Linked DNA regions of Pelodiscus sinensis. The protein of the gene in region 1 interacts with the protein of each later gene in a biochemical or structural test. Links are inferred from orthologs where the notes say so. Each region holds a gene or a part of one and is shown on either strand. Other genes may lie near its edges.

Region 1 (7,630 bases):
AAAAGCTTTTCCGTTAAAAGCATTTTCAGAATATCATGCCAGTGTAGATGTAGCCGACCAGTTATTGGAGAGAGAAAATCCAAGCTGAACCTGTGAACAGTGCCCTGGTGTTTTCTCATTGCTGAGCACTTGCATCTGCAGCCTTAATAATACTCTTTTAATGCAGTGCTCTTTGTGGGCAACAGAAAAAGAATCTGCCGCTGAAATGCTACCTAAAGAGTCATTCCTGACATGCAAGAAACAATTTTTTAGCACTTCAGCATTGACAGTCCTCCCCACCTCTTCCTAAGGGTTTGTCTACATAGGGAAATTAGTCCAGATTAAGGTGACTCTAATCTGGTCCACACTGGGAATAATTCCAGAACAGCTCTACTAGGATAGCTTCAGGGGGTAGCCTAGTCTGTACAGGATAAACTTAAAAAACAACAAATAGTCTGGTAGCACATTATAGACAAACAAAACATGTAGATGGTATCATGAGCTTTCATGGGCATGGCCCACTTCTTCAGATAACCAGAGTTTTGTTAAACGGCTGGTTATTTGGGTAATTGAAGGATCATTAGATCACCATGAAAACATTGCCAGGTACTCCACTTAAAAGCTGGGGGGAAGGAAGTGTGGACTGCTGGGATCTGCATTTAGATTACTGCTGTTAAACTTCTCATAAATGAGAAAAAGGGGTAAACAATGACTACTTCACAACTGACTGCGAAGAGTTACAAAGGGATCTCACAAAACTGGGTGATTGGGCAACACAAAGGCAGATGGAATTCAGTGTTGATAAGTGCAAATTAATGCACATAAGAAAATATAATTCTAACCATACATATAAAAATGATGGGGTCTAAAATAGCTGTTACCACTCAAGAAAGAGATCTTGGCATCCTTGAAAACATCTGCTCAGTGTGCAGTGGCAGTTTGAAAACTAAAAAGCTAACCAAATATTGGGAATCGTTAGGAAAAGGAATAGATAAGAAGACAAAATATCATATTGCCTGTGTATAAAATCATTGTATGCCCACATCTTGAATGCAGATCTGGTCACCCCCTCTAAAAAAAAGATATATTGGATTTGGAAAAGGTACAGAAAGGGCAACAGAAATGATTAGGGGTAAGGAACAGAGATTAACAAGACTGCGATTTTTCATCTTGGAAAAGAAATGATTAAAGCGTAGGGGGATATGTTGGAGGTCTTGAAAACTATGAAAGCTATAGAAAAATAGAATAAGGATCTGTTATTCATTTCTGCACTAACATAACACAAGAAGATGACCCAATTAAATCTATGGGCAGCCGATGTAAAACTATAACAGGGTTCCAATAAGAACGAAATAAGTTCAAGGCGGATAGGTCCATCAATGGCTACTAGCCAGACTGAGCAGGGATGATATCCCTAGTTTCTGTTTGCCAGAAGCTAGGAATGGGCGACAGGGAATGGCTCATGATTGCCTCTTCTATTTATTCCTCTTGACATACCTGACATTGGCCAATGTTGGTAGACAGGACACTGGGCTAGAAAGACCTTTGGTCCTACCCAGTATGACCATTCTGATCCTCTTATATCGAGCTGAAATTTATCTCCCCCTTTTGTAACCCACTAGATTCCACTTCCCTTCCAGAGCTGAGAGACAGCCCACAAGTTCTGACAGGGTTTCTCTATCCCCGGATTTAGTAACTAAGTAAGAATAGACATTAACATTTTAAGGCTAAATAGTGTCCCTTAAGTGACGTGCCATAAGATGTCAGAATATGTTAGAGCTGAGTGGGTCTAATATTTATTTAATTTTCTTGTATATTGAAATTAGATTCAGTGCTCCTGCTAACTGCTAAGTTGTCAGCCAAAAAAGCAGAGTTTTCCAGTGCCTTAGTAGCCCTGGGACAGAGATGATATGGTGGGGAGGGTGGAAGGAATTGGTTCCTCCCCCATTTGGTACTTGGTTTGTACCGAGCATGCTCAGTAACACTGCTGAAAGCCGCTGTCCTCAGTTTTCCTCCCCATGCTCTCATTACCCTCCATCACGGCATGCACAGGTCGCCACTCCCCCACCAAAATCTGAAATGGCGCCCATTGCGATTTCCCTGCGAAGACAAGTTTGCACTAATTGCAAAAACTCCTCTCTCTGCTGGGCTGTCCCTGTGCTGCTGGGGGAGTGAGGGTTGCAGCCCTGGGGCCTGCCAGTTGGAGGGCAGCGCCAGGGACATGAGACATTTTCAGACTTTAGGAGTCAGTTATGGAGGAGCTTTCAGTGGCCACCAGAGGACACTGCTGCTGCACGGAAAAGGGTCACTCGGCTGCCAATAGTCCTTAGAAAAAGGGTGGACTGGAGTGGGGCTGCATACAAGGGGAAAGAGAGAGACAAGGGAGAAGGAGAGCAGGGATTGGAGAGGAAGAGGAGGGGAGGAAAGGAAAAGAGGGGAAAGGAGAGAAAGAAAAGGGCAAGGTAAGGTGAGTAGGGAAAAAAGAAGGAATAGAGAAGGAGGGGAAGAAGAATGAAATAGAGAAGAAGGAGGAGGAAAGAGGAAGAAGAGGAGGAGGGGACTGGGAGAGTGAAAGGGAAGAAGAAGAGGAGGAAGAGAGGAGGAGGGAAGGGGAAGAGAAGAGTGAAAGGGAAGGCGAGGAAGAGAGAAGGTAAGGGGAGGAGGAAGATGAAGGGGAGGGCGAGGAAGAGAGGAGGAAGGTGAGGAGGAGGGAAGAGGAAGACAGAAGGGAAGGGAGCGGGAGGAGGAAGGGGGAAGAGGAGGAAGATGAAGGGGGAGGAGAAAAATGGGAAGGGGAAGAAAAGGGGAGAAGAAGGAAAGGGAAGAGAGAGGGGAGGGGAAGGAGGAAGATGAGGAGGAAGATGAAGAGGGAAGGGGAAGAAGGAGGAAGGGAAGGAGGAAGATGAGGGGGAGAAGGAAGCTGAAGAGGAGGGAAGGGGAAGACAGAGGAAGAGAGAGGGATGGGAAGAGGAGGAGGCAGATGAAGACGGAAGGGGAGGAAGGCGGAAGGGGAGAGGAAGAGAGAGGGGAAGGTGCAGGAGGAAGATGAAGAGGGTGAGGAAGAGAGGAGGAAGGGGGAGGAGGAAGATAAAGGGAAGGGGGAGAGAGGGGCAGGGGAAGAAGAAGGTAGGAGGAGGGGAAGGAGGAAGATGAAGAGGAGGAAGGGGAAGGGGGAAGAGGAAGAGAGAGGAGGAAGGAAGAGAGAAGGGAAGGAGGGAGGAGGGAAGAGGAGGAGGAAGATGAAGAGGGAAGGGGAGGAAGGGAAGGAGAAAGATGAGGGGGGAGGGGGAAGGGGAAGAGAGAGGAGGAGGGAAGGGTTAGGGGAAGAGAGAGAGGAAGGTGCAGGAGGAAGATGAAGAGAGGAGGAAGGGGGAGGAGGAAGATAAAGGGAAGGGGAAGAGGGGGAAGGGGAAGAAGAAGGTGGAAGGAGGAAGGAGGAAGATGAACAGGAGGAAGGGGAAGGGGAAGAGAGAGGAGGAGGGAAGGGGAGGGGAAGTTGCAGGAGGAAGATGAAGAGAGGAGGAGGGAGAGGAGGAAGATAAGGGGAGAGTGGGGAAGGGGAAGGGGAAGAAGAAGATAGGAGGAGGGGAAGGAGGAAGATGAAGAGGAGGAAGGGGAAGAGGAAGGGGTAAGAGAGAGGAGGAGGGAAGGGGAGGGGAAGTTGCAGGAGGAAGATGAAGAGAGGAGGAGGGGGAGGAGGAAGATGAAGGGGAAGAAGAAGGTAGGAGGAAGGGGAAGGAGGAAGATGAAGAGAGGAGGAGGGGAAGAGGAAGATAAAGGGAAGGGGAAGGGGAAGAAGAAGAGGAGGAAGGGGAAGGGGGAAGAGAGAGGAGGAGGGAAGGGGAGGGGAAGTTGCAGGAGGAAGATGAAGGGAAGGGGAAGAAGAAGGGGAGGGAGCGGGAGGAGGAGGGAAGAGGAGGGGATGGGGAAGGGGGCGATGCGGGATTTGACGGGGCGGAGCCTGGGAGACGCAGACAGGCAGGGCTGGGCAGACCACGCCCCCCGCGCTCCGCCTGCCTGCGCCGCCCAGCCCAGCTCCTGGCGCGGGGAGCGCTCGGCTCTCTCCGTCAGCTCGGGCCTCTCGGGCGCTGCTCGGGTGTTTCCGTCTCCGTTCGGCGCTCTCCCTCCCCGCGCCTGTGGCGCGCTCCGCCCTCGGCTGTTTCCGCCCCCGCTCGGCTATTTCCGGCTCCCCTCGGCTGTTTCCGCCCCCGCTCGGCTATTTCCGGCTCCCCTCGGGTGTTCCCGTCCCCGCTCGGAGGCAGTCGGCGCCTGGCCGGCCTCCTTCCTTCCCTCCCGGGTGCCTGCCCCGGTAACGGTCGCTGCGAGTTTAAATGAGCAGGGGCCGGGCCGCGCCGCGCCGCCGCCAGGACTCGCCCCGCCGCGGGCGCTGAGGGGACAGGATGACGGTGCTGCAGGAGCCCGTGCAGGTACCGAGCCGCAGCCGCCCCGAGGCCCCGGCCTAGCGGGCCCGGCCTCTCCCGAGCCAGCCCGGCCTGGCGGGGCCCCCCCCGCCCGCCCGGCCGCAGGGGCCCCTCAGCGCCCGCCTCAGACGTGGGGCCCCGAGGCCCCGCCCCTGGAGCGGGGACCAGGCCCCGCACGGCCCGCACCGCACTGACCCGGCAGCCCCTCCCCCTGCCGGCCCGCCTCCTCCAGACCCCCCCCCCCCCCGGCCAGGCTCCCCTCGAATCTCCCAGAGGGGCCCGCCACTGGCTGGTCTCCCTCCCCCCACCTCGGCCCTGGTATCCCTGCGCTCCGTCCTGCCACAGCCCTGGGGGCCGATCGGGACCTCTCGCTTGGGCGAGGGGCTGGACACGATCCCCGCCCCAGCGGCAGAGCCTCATGTGCCTAGCTCGTAAGACAGCCGATGGAGACAGGGAGGGGGGCACGAGGGGGCAGGGAGGGGGGCACGAGGGCAGGTGGGACGAGGGGGCAGGGAGGGGGGCACGAGGGGGGCACGAGGGCAGGGGGGACGAGGGGGCAGGGAGGGGGCACGAGGGCAGGTGGGACGAGGGGGCAGGGAGGGGGCAGGGGGGACGAGGGGGCAGGGAGGGGGGCACGAGGGCAGGTGGGACGAGGGGGCAGGGAGGGGGCACGAGGGCAGGTGGGACGAGGGGGCAGGGAGGGGGGCACGAGGGCAGGTGGGACGAGGGGGCAGGGAGGGGGCACGAGGGCAGGTGGGACGAGGGGGCAGGGAGGGGGCAGGTGGGACGAGGGGGCAGGGAGGGGGCACGAGGGCAGGTGGGACGAGGGGGCAGGGAGGGGGCAGGGGGGACGAGGGGGCAGGGAGGGGGCACGAGGGCAGGGGGGACGAGGGGGCAGGGAGGGGGCACGAGGGCAGGGGGGACGAGGGGGCAGGGAGGGGGCACGAGGACAGGTGGGACGAGGGGGCAGGGAGGGGGGCACGAGGACAGGTGGGACGAGGGGGCAGGGAGGGGGCACGAGGGCAGGTGGGACGAGGGGGCAGGGAGGGGGGCACGAGGGCAGGTGGGACGAGGGGGCAGGGAGGGGGCACGAGGGCAGGGGGGACGAGGGGGCACGAGGATAGGTGGGACGAGGGGGCAGGGAGGGGGCACGAGGACAGGTGGGAAGAGGGGGCAGGGAGGGGGGCACGAGGACAGGTGGGACGAGGGGGCAGGGAGGGGGCACGGGGGCAGGTGGGACGAGGGGGCAGGGAGGGGGCACGAGGGCAGGTGGGACGAGGGGGCAGGGAGGGGGCACGAGGACAGGTGGGACGAGGGGGCAGGGAGGGGGGCACGAGGACAGGTGGGACGAGGGGGCAGGGAGGGGGGCACGAGGACAGGTGGGACGAGGCGGTAGGGAGGGGGGTACGAGGGCAGGTGGGACGAGGGGGCAGGGAGGGGGCACGAGGGCAGGTGGGACGAGGGGGCAGGGAGGGGGGCACGAGAGCAGGTGGGACGAGGGGGCAGGGAGGGGGGCATGAGGAAACAATGAGTTGATACTAGCCAGCATAATAGTGGCTAGTGCACGTCCAAGAGGGATTCTTCCCATCTCCACTGTTCCAGCCCAACTCCTTATGGAACCCCTCGATTTCTCCTTTCTGGTTTCATTCACCCTCCATGGCTGCTGTTTTTGTATTTAAATACCCACAATGTGCTTGTCACTGTGGATTACACACAAGTGAAGGGCATTCATTGTCCCAAGGAGCATGCAGTCTAAGGCCAGGTCTTCACTTGCTGCTGGATATTGATCTTCTGGTGTTAGATTTAGTGGGTGTAGGTAAGACGCCGTAAATCGAATGCCGAGGGTGGCTCCATGTGGCACTTGTACTCCTGGCTGTTGTGGAGAAGGGAAGCCGATGAGAGCGTTGGCACCGGTCTTCACAGAGGGAGGCCAACAAGAGCAGAGCTCAGCTTAAGGTAAGCAGACTCCAGTGACATATTTTACATAGCTGGAGTTGCGTACCTTAACCTGGCCTTCCAGGTCTGGTGTAGACTTGGTCTAAAAGAGACCAAGTCTCGCCTGAAAGACCCAAAGGAGGAAATAACTTTAGGTTCTTTTTTTCTCCCCCTTTTTTAAAGTCTAATTTTTTTTCCAGGATATTTTCCCTTTTTATTTTAGTCTCTTTTCAGAAGTGATACCATCTCAGAAGTTATCCGTTCTCTCTTTCCTATATCAACTTTGCCTTAGCTATCCTATCTATGTTCCCTCCCACTTCAATTTTCCCATGCTATCTCCTCTCCTTTCCCCTCCACCAGACTTCCAATCTTTTTCAGGTTTCTGTCTTTAGAAATAAATTGGGACATAGGGCTTCAAAGGTCTTGCATGCAAAATAAATTTTTTCTTGGTAACTTGTAAACTCTCCCAGCTTCTACACGGCCAAGATGCTTAGCATGCTGGACAGTTTTTCATAATGACAATAGTGAGCACAACAAAAGTATCTAATTTCTCTTGTTTCCTCTTCTCTCTAAAAAGATAGAAGGATGTAGCTTTTTGTGGGATACATCATCTACCCCACTGATTTAGCCTACACAACAAGGTGGAAGCAGTGGTGGCACTATTATTGTAGATGAGTTCATCATCTTTATGCCAAATTCTATAGGTCTGCTCTGAACCACATTAGACAACGCATTGCTGAAAACACTTCTGGCCATCTGATGCCCTTTCTCCAGTAATACTCTCTCAAGTTAGCATCTCGAGCTGGGCAGGTGGTAGCAGCAGTTGGAAATTCTAGCAAAAAGTGGCTAGTGTAGGCTTCAGTATGGAAAGAAAGTAAATGCCCGCTTACATAGATATTGTTTGCTTTCATTCACTAACATTTTTACAAATACATGCAATCAGCATCTTTTCTGCTGTCCTGATTATGGCTAACCAGGTGGGAAATATTTGATATTCTGAAATTTCCTTGGCAAAGATATGGAGTATTTTATTTGAGGTATGTTGTTTGATGTGTAAAATGGACACTTGTAATGTTATCTTCTCTAGCTTGGAAGTTCTGTTGATAACACTCTGCTTTCATTATCACACAAACCTACGGCTTGTCTACACTAGCAAATTACTGTGCTGTTGCTTTCTCTCTCAGGGGTGTGAAAATACCACTCTCTCCCTCCCAGCACAGCAAATTGCAGCGCTGTAAAGCGCCAGTGTAAACGAGCTCCCAGTACAGGGAGCCCAAGTGTAGACCAAGACCCTA
Region 2 (7,444 bases), on another chromosome or scaffold:
ATTTGACTGGACAGGATTGCTAGTGTGTAATCTGTGTCAGGGACATGCTAATAGTCAGTCACATGTTCTCTCTCTAGTCACAAGTGTCATGCTATTCTTTACATATGAAGAAACAGCAAATCAAGTGTATTCCTGGTTTATTTCACTAGATACCTTGCTTTAGTTAAGAGAGTTAAAGTTTAATTTCTGTAGTAATATACTCACAAGATGTTGAGGACAACCTTAACCGTTCCTTAGAAGCAGCAACATCTCCTTCATTCTCTTTGTCTAGGAAGGAAAGGGTTGTCATCTTCAGCTTGACAAGATCACTGCAAGAAAAAAAAATAAAAATCACTTATTGAGTTACTGAAAAATCCTCTGGGAACAAACAGTGAGAACAGTCATGGTTTTGGTGTCTCTTCATACAAAACATGCGTTGAGATATTGATATTGACTATGCTGTCCATTTGACATTTTGTAGATGAGAGTTTAAGTGAGACTTGCCCAGTGTTCTCTGTAAGCTTTGAACTTGTAGAGCCACTCAAGGCAAATTCCAATGCCACCCAGCTGATTAGCAGAGCGCCCACAGCTAAATTTGTGTTTCTCTTGATGGCACATGCATATTTGCACATGCCTCAGTGCACACAATTTATTCTGCACATGGAAGGAAGAAATCTACACATGGGATGGAAAGACTACAGGGAACATTGGATGGACCTGTCCCTGTTTTGCACAGCAGTACAAAGATGTAGGCTTTTAACTATTTAAACCTTCCAGTTAGGTGGCACCTGAATTCAGATTACATTGGCATACACAAATACACTACCTTATTTTGATCATATTCTTGCAAATCTTGCCTGATGTTGTAGGATCAGGATTATTTTTTACAATATGTAAATGTTTATTCCTAAACTACAATAAACCTAAACAAAGTTGTTTAAGTATATCTTAATGCATTGTTTGTTCACCTGTTAGCAAGATTTGCAAGTGCAAATTAATGTTCCCTCTATAATACCAAAAATGACAAACTATCAATTTGGAAGCCCAAGCACATTATTTCCAGCCTGCTTTAGTAGTTAACTTTATCAGGAGCTGACTGTCAGAAAGAGGCAACTTAGAGAGCTTGGAAGTACTGTTAAGAGAAACTCAAAGGGGTACTAACTTGATTTTTCCACACTAGAATAATTTGTGCCTCTGATTGGCTCATCTAATCTTATTGTAACTTTAGGAGCAAAGAGAAGACAAGTCTGTTTCCTCAACCTTGGATTAATCATCATGGAAGCCTGATAAAGTGAGAACATTACTGGATAATTGTTCAACCCCAATTAGCATTACTGCACCAACACAGTAGGGCTACGTCTACACTGAGGCTTTTTGTACAAGAACAGCTGTTCTTGCGCAAAAAATTGTGGAGCGTCTACACTGCACGTGTTTTTGCGCAAGTAAATTTACAGTAAAGCATCAGAAAAAGAGGGCTTCTTGTGTAAGAGTTATTCCTCTCCCCATGAGGAATAAGCCCTCTTGTGCAAGAAGGCTAGTGTGGACGGGAACAGGGGTTTCTTGCGCAAGAAACCCCTATGGCTAAAATGGCCATCAGAGCTTTCTTGTGCAAGTGTCCACACCACCATGGCGGCTCTCGCACAAAAACACATGGCAATGTGGACATGGTCTTGCGCAAGACCTTTTTGCAGAAGAACTCTTGCGCAAGAAGCCTGCCATGTAGACATAGCCTAGTAGTAGCATGAAGTAGCAGTAACTAGACATAAGAATAGCCATACCACAGAGGGGGGCTATAGTAGGAGAGTCACTCCCCTCCTTAAACCCAACTCTGGTAGAAGGTTGAGACTGTGAAGCCAGCAGCTAAGGCAAACCACAGCCAATCAGAAAGCAGCTGGATTACTGTAAACAGGGGCTCCTGGAGGGGAGGGGATTCTTGCACCAGATGTGGCGCAGGATGGGCCTGGCTGCTTGGGTAAGCTAGAGAGAAGGTACCTGAGACAACAGGCAGTGGGTCACTGAGGAAATATAGTTAGAGGTTTGGGGTCCCTTGGGAAGGGGGGACTGCAGAGTGTGCAGGGGGTGGGCATCATCATCATCATCAGGCAGTACAGTCAGGAAAGGGCACCAAGACCTGAACCAGTGCAGAAGACAGGTAATTTAAGGAGAGACCCGAGTGCCTTCAGCTTTGACAAGCTAGTTCCTGAGACCAGCAGGAAAGACTGTGGCAACAAGTTCTGACCTGCTACAAGACAAACAATAACCTACAGATAACATCCAGTCAATCAAACCTCAAACCCAGCCAGGGAACAGGATAGCCTTGCCAGGAGGAGCCAACCCAACTCCCAAATAGCACCAGTACAGCCAGTTATCTAGCCACCCAGGGATACTAGCTCCCAGTCTTTCCCCTTCTGCCACCTCTTCCCTACAGCCTCAGCTCCTCCAGTGCCAGAGACATGCAGTCACTCTGCAGCTTCAGTCCTCTGGGCAGCACTATCTGGGGTTGGATGGGGCATATAAATCTTATGGTTTGGCCAAGGGACAGGAAGAGGCTAGGGGGGAAAGTAGTAGGCCACACCTGGCTATCTGGGGAAGGCACTCCCTCCCCCAGCCTTCCATACAATTTCTGTACCCAGTGCTGACCTCAGGACAAGAGATTTCCTCACCCCACCATACCAGGTCAGACTACCAACAGTAGCAAAAGCCAAGTGCCTCAGAACAAATCATTCAATGAAGAACCCCTCATCACCAATTCCCAGAGCAACACTAGTATGAGCATTTCACATCCTTTTGACCATAAAAAGGAAGTGAAATGATGTATTGAAGCAGTTCTGAACAGCAGAGTAGGGTATCACTGGCAGGTAAACAATGTAAGGGATGAGTGCAGACTGTGCCCTCAGGAGATAGTCCCCAGGGAGCGTTATCCAGGCAAAGAATTACACTCACCTAGCAGCGTGAGAGTTACAGGACACTTGGAAAGTTCTCCCAGGTCCTGCTCAGAAGGGCGAGCACTTACCCGGCCAAGACCCCCAGGAGGCAGTCGGGGAAGGCAAAACAATGCGACTCTTCGGAGAGACAAGGCCAACCCCGCCTGCGGAGGAGACACAGCCTGAGCCCTCACCCCAGAAGCCACAGCTGAGCTGCAGCCGCCACTGCCGCGGGAAAGCCACTAGCAGGGGAGATTGAACACGAGCCCCGCCGCCGCTTAAGCCCCCAGGCGGAAACAGCGCAGCTCACTGGAGGACGCGGCCTCGCTTGCAAGCGCACGCGGAAGGGACATTTCGAAAAGGACAAACCCAGAGCGCGCACCAGCTACGGAACCGCGCAAACGGCCACACGCCAGCACCTCGAGCCATCGCGCGCCACTACCCGCGAGGCCATTTTTAAACATCCACCTCTCCTCCCATTGGCTGCTTGACACGAAAACTAACGCTTCGGCTGCTGATTGGCTAGTTTTGCAGAGCCGACGGGTGAGTGGGTGTTTCTAGGTCGCTCGAGCTGCTGTCAGTCTGGGGGCGGCCGGAAGCCTGGCAGCGGAGGGAGCCTAATCAGGCCTAATTCTTGCCCACTACACTTGTCGCGTTGCATGAGACGGGGAAGCTTTACGGGAGGAGCCGTGAATGCTGCTTGCTCCGCATGTCACTGGCCCCGCGGGGCAGTTCACATGGTTCGGCCTCTTGGTTGTCCTGTTCTCTCCAGCGAATAAACCAGCTCGTTGTTCACGGCCATGCTGTTTCATAAGCATTGCTCAGCTCTGGGCCCTACATCAGCCGAAGACCACACCGACATCTGCGTGTGTCACCCCCAGCCCAACAATGTCCAGACCGCAGCTCCACAGCTCTTGCTTCAAGCCGGTGTAACCCGGACCCGTTTGGGTTGGGATGGACACAGAGACCGTGTGGACGCCAGGGGGGCAGGATGGAGGCCAATTCGGTGCCGTTCGAGTCTTTTCTTGTCACGGGAAATTGCATAAGTGCCGCCAAAGGGCAGTCGAGGGGCCCTTGGGTGCCGCCTGGCAGAGGTGGCTACCGCCCAGCCAGCGCCTGGTCCGGCCGCTGCTTCTTGCAGGGCTCTGCGGTGTCGCTCGGGTTCGCAGACCAACCTCCGGGCGTGCCATGCCTGAGTCCTGTGCACGCCCAGCTCCGTCCGTGCACTGGGGGCCCGCAGCACCTGCCCCTTCCCCGGGGTACAGCTGCGTTCGGAGCAGGGAACAGGTTCCTTTAAGAGACGGAGCCAGGGCCGGCGGCGCGATGCATTGTGGGAGCGGGGGGGGAGGGGAGAATGAGCCGAGATCTAATCGGTAAACCCGTTCGGAGCTGGAGCTGAGGCCTGTTCCGCTCCAGGGGGGGTACGGCTGCGTCGCGCCTCGTGACCGCGCCAGGCCCCGCTCTCGAGCCGGAGGCGTTGCGGTGGCGTCTGTCTGCGGGGCTAGGCACCGCGTAACTCCCCCTTCCTCCCTCAGTTTCCCTCGCGAGGGGTCCGTGGATGCCTCGGTGCTGAGAGTCCCTCCGGCTGCGCATGATCCCCGGCCCGGCCTCCGGATCACAACGCAGGCCGGGCTGTGCAGACAAGAACCTGCCGCGGTTCCTGTCCCGCGGCTCGCGGCTCTGCGGGAGAGGAGTGGAGCCGTAGCTGAAGTAGGGGACCAGGGCCGCACCTTCACTTCCGGGGCCAGCCTAGTCGGTAGTGAGAACTGGTGAGTAGCTCCTGATTTGTATGATTTCAGACCGGATTCCTGAGTTTTATAGTCAGCTGTGTGCCTGACGTATTCCTTGGGTAAAGCGGCTAGTGAGATTGGCATAGCACTCCTCAGCTTCACTTGATTTTTGTAATACTTATTTCATGTATGTTTATAAAATGCCCTGGAGTCTCTGCAGAAGTACTGGATAAAGGTACGTTTTCTGCTTGCATCACAAAGCATGTTCGTGAGAGTCCTGAAACCATTTAGATATTTATTAAAAAACAATTCAAGGGGGCTATGTCCCCTGCTCGCTATGCTTGCCAACCCACCCACCCCCACCACTTTTGCAGCCATAGAGTGTGAGAGCTACGCTCACCAATCTCCCCCAGTCTCCCGCCCCTCGCCCCCCCCCCCCCACACACACACTTACCTACCTCTCTGGAGACAGGTGTCTGGCCAGGTGGAGGGAGCAGGAGCAGGCTCAGGGTAAGTGTCTGGCTATGGGGGAAGGTGCAGAAGTGGGCAGAGGGAGCAGGATCTCTGTGGAAGAGGTGCATGAGGTGGCTGGGTGTGTGAGATTGTCAGGGCTGTTCCCCACTCAAGCACTCCTAGTACAGAAGATGGGGGCCTGCAAAGAGCTTAAAAGAAAAAGATACCTTTGCTTCTATAGCACTGATTACAAAAATCTTCCCCCTAGAATCACAATATGCAAATTTTGGGGGATCACTGCCACCATCAAGTGATTTTTATCCCTAAAAAAACCAGGGGTGAACACTTGAACCTACTGCCAAGGTTACCCCTAGCTCTTTTGCCCTAAAAGAGCTTGAAAAAGAAAAGAGGAAAACAAGCTACAGTCTCCAGTAGCTGACCTCTCAGTGTGAGGCAGGCAGATACACACAGACAGACCGACCTTCCAGGACACTAGAATCAAATCATCAGCTAAAAAAAGTGTCTTTTATTACAAAACAAAAGGTAAACTTGATAAAGCATTCTTGGTTGCTAGATGTTACAGAGCAACTAAGGAAAACAAATTAAAACAGAGAAAAGACTCTGGGCACAATGCGATATGGTAAACGTGGAGGCATAGATTCACACAGCAGTTCAAACCAAACCACAAAATAAAAAAAATACCCTGAACGCAACTAGATTCACTTTTTTCCCCATTACTTACTTCCATTCTTTTCTTGGTTCAGTCCACTTCCATTCCCTGAATTCCTTGGACTCATGGTAGTCCTGCCTGGGTTTAAATCATTCTATGTCTTTCAACTCCTGGTTTTTCCCTCCCACACAAAGAAGGCATGCAAGGAATCTTATACAATTCAAATTTCATCCCACTATCTCCAGTGGTCTACTAGCTACCTGAGTTTAACCCCTCATTCACTGGGTGCTGGTCAGCACTCCTTCTGTCCATTACAGGGGTCTTGGTTTGGGGGGTATGAATGAAGGGGCTGAGGGTGTGAGGTCTTGGCAGGACAGTGAGTGAGGGGATGGGGTGCATGGTCTCGACAGGGTGGTGAGTGAGTGGGCTGGTACCATGCTGGGAGTCTAGGCTGGTGCTCCAACCTGCCCCCCCCCCAGCCGAGACTCACCACCTCCACCACTGTCACTCACCGCCCTGCTGAGATCATGTACCCCTAACCCCCTCACTCACCAGCTCCAGTTCAGCCCCATCCCTGCTCCTCCTGCAGCAGGGAGACTGTGCTGGCGCTCCAGCCTCACTCACTGCCTTGGGAAAAGAGGCTGGTCAGTGGGAAAGGTGGAGGTACACATTCTGGCCTTGGGGCCGGCCAGTTGCAATGGTAGTGTGGCACGAGGAGGGTCTGTGGGGGGAAGCCAGCTGTGGCCAGTGTGTGGGGGCAGGAGCTGATGGCGGTGGCCTATGACCCCCACCCATGGGGGAGTGATGTAAGCACCAGAGGAGCTGCCTGGACCTGGGGGCAGGGCAACACCAGGAATGTGGTGATGTCACTCTGTCATCCTGCAGGAAATTTTTTTATAGAGAGAGACTTTATGCCATTACTTACTTCATTTGCAAGAGATAAAAAAGTAGAGTATATTGATTGTTCATTTTTCAGTACTAGTGTTCTGTAATGTATTATCCTTTTCATTGTACTTGTATTTGTTCATGTCAGAAAGAAAAAGACCATGGCATCTGGGACAGTTGAAATAATAAACTCTACCCCTGCGGGAGGGTCAAATGATGTAAGTTTGGAGGAGCCAAAAAAGATGACAAGAGAAGACTGGAGGAAGAAGAAGGAATTAGAAGAACAGAGAAAGCTGGGAAATGCACCAGCTGAAGTGGATGAGGAAGGAAAGTAAGTTTCATCTTAGGCAGGGGTCAGCAACCTATGGTTCCCCAGCCAGATATTACATTAAGATAATTAATGTTTATTTTGGCCCACCTGTCACAAAGACTAATGCTGCAGTGGCAGTATCTTAGCCAATGATATTAATCCAAGGCGTGATTATTGCTAATTAAAAAATTATCCTGTTTTTCACTTATTCAAATGGCATAAACAATGTAGCACATGTCTAATTTTTTTTCTTTTTACAGAGATATCAACCCTCATATTCCTCAGTACATATCTTCAGTGCCGTGGTACATAGATCCTTCAAAAAGACCTACATTGAAGCATCAGAGACCTCAGCCAGAGAAGCAAAAAGAGTTCAGCTCATCTGGGGAATGGTACAAACGAGGGGTTCAAGAGGTGTGTAGCAAAGATGAAAACGGACTATTGTTTTGGGAAGGGAAGAATTGTAAAATACAGTAAATTCTTCTTGGAGTGA

What was found. The genes of interacting proteins can lie anywhere in the genome.
Region 2: the proteins of CDC27 (region 1) and PTTG1 form a complex in vitro, tested with the Homo sapiens proteins (3 studies listed by BioGRID). The link is inferred for Pelodiscus sinensis from reciprocal best matches to the Homo sapiens genes CDC27 and PTTG1.

Annotation. Positions count from the first base shown.
Region 1 is NC_134739.1:6,834,795-6,842,424, forward strand, and holds the start of CDC27 (cell division cycle protein 27 homolog), read left to right. Parts: upstream 1-4,221; 5' UTR 4,222-4,379; coding exon 4,380-4,406; intron 4,407-7,630. UniProt on the Homo sapiens protein: Component of the anaphase promoting complex/cyclosome (APC/C), a cell cycle-regulated E3 ubiquitin ligase that controls progression through mitosis and the G1 phase of the cell cycle.
Region 2 is NC_134727.1:14,827,635-14,835,078, forward strand, and holds the start of PTTG1 (securin), read right to left. Parts: upstream 3,395-7,444; 5' UTR 3,368-3,394; coding exon 3,273-3,367; intron 3,267-3,272; exon of another isoform or gene 3,068-3,266; coding exon 2,993-3,067; exon of another isoform or gene 2,923-2,992; intron 309-2,922; coding exon 205-308; intron 1-204. Other genes in the region: pre-mRNA-splicing factor SLU7, read left to right, coding at 6,803-6,972, 7,212-7,365. UniProt on the Homo sapiens protein: Regulatory protein, which plays a central role in chromosome stability, in the p53/TP53 pathway, and DNA repair. Probably acts by blocking the action of key proteins.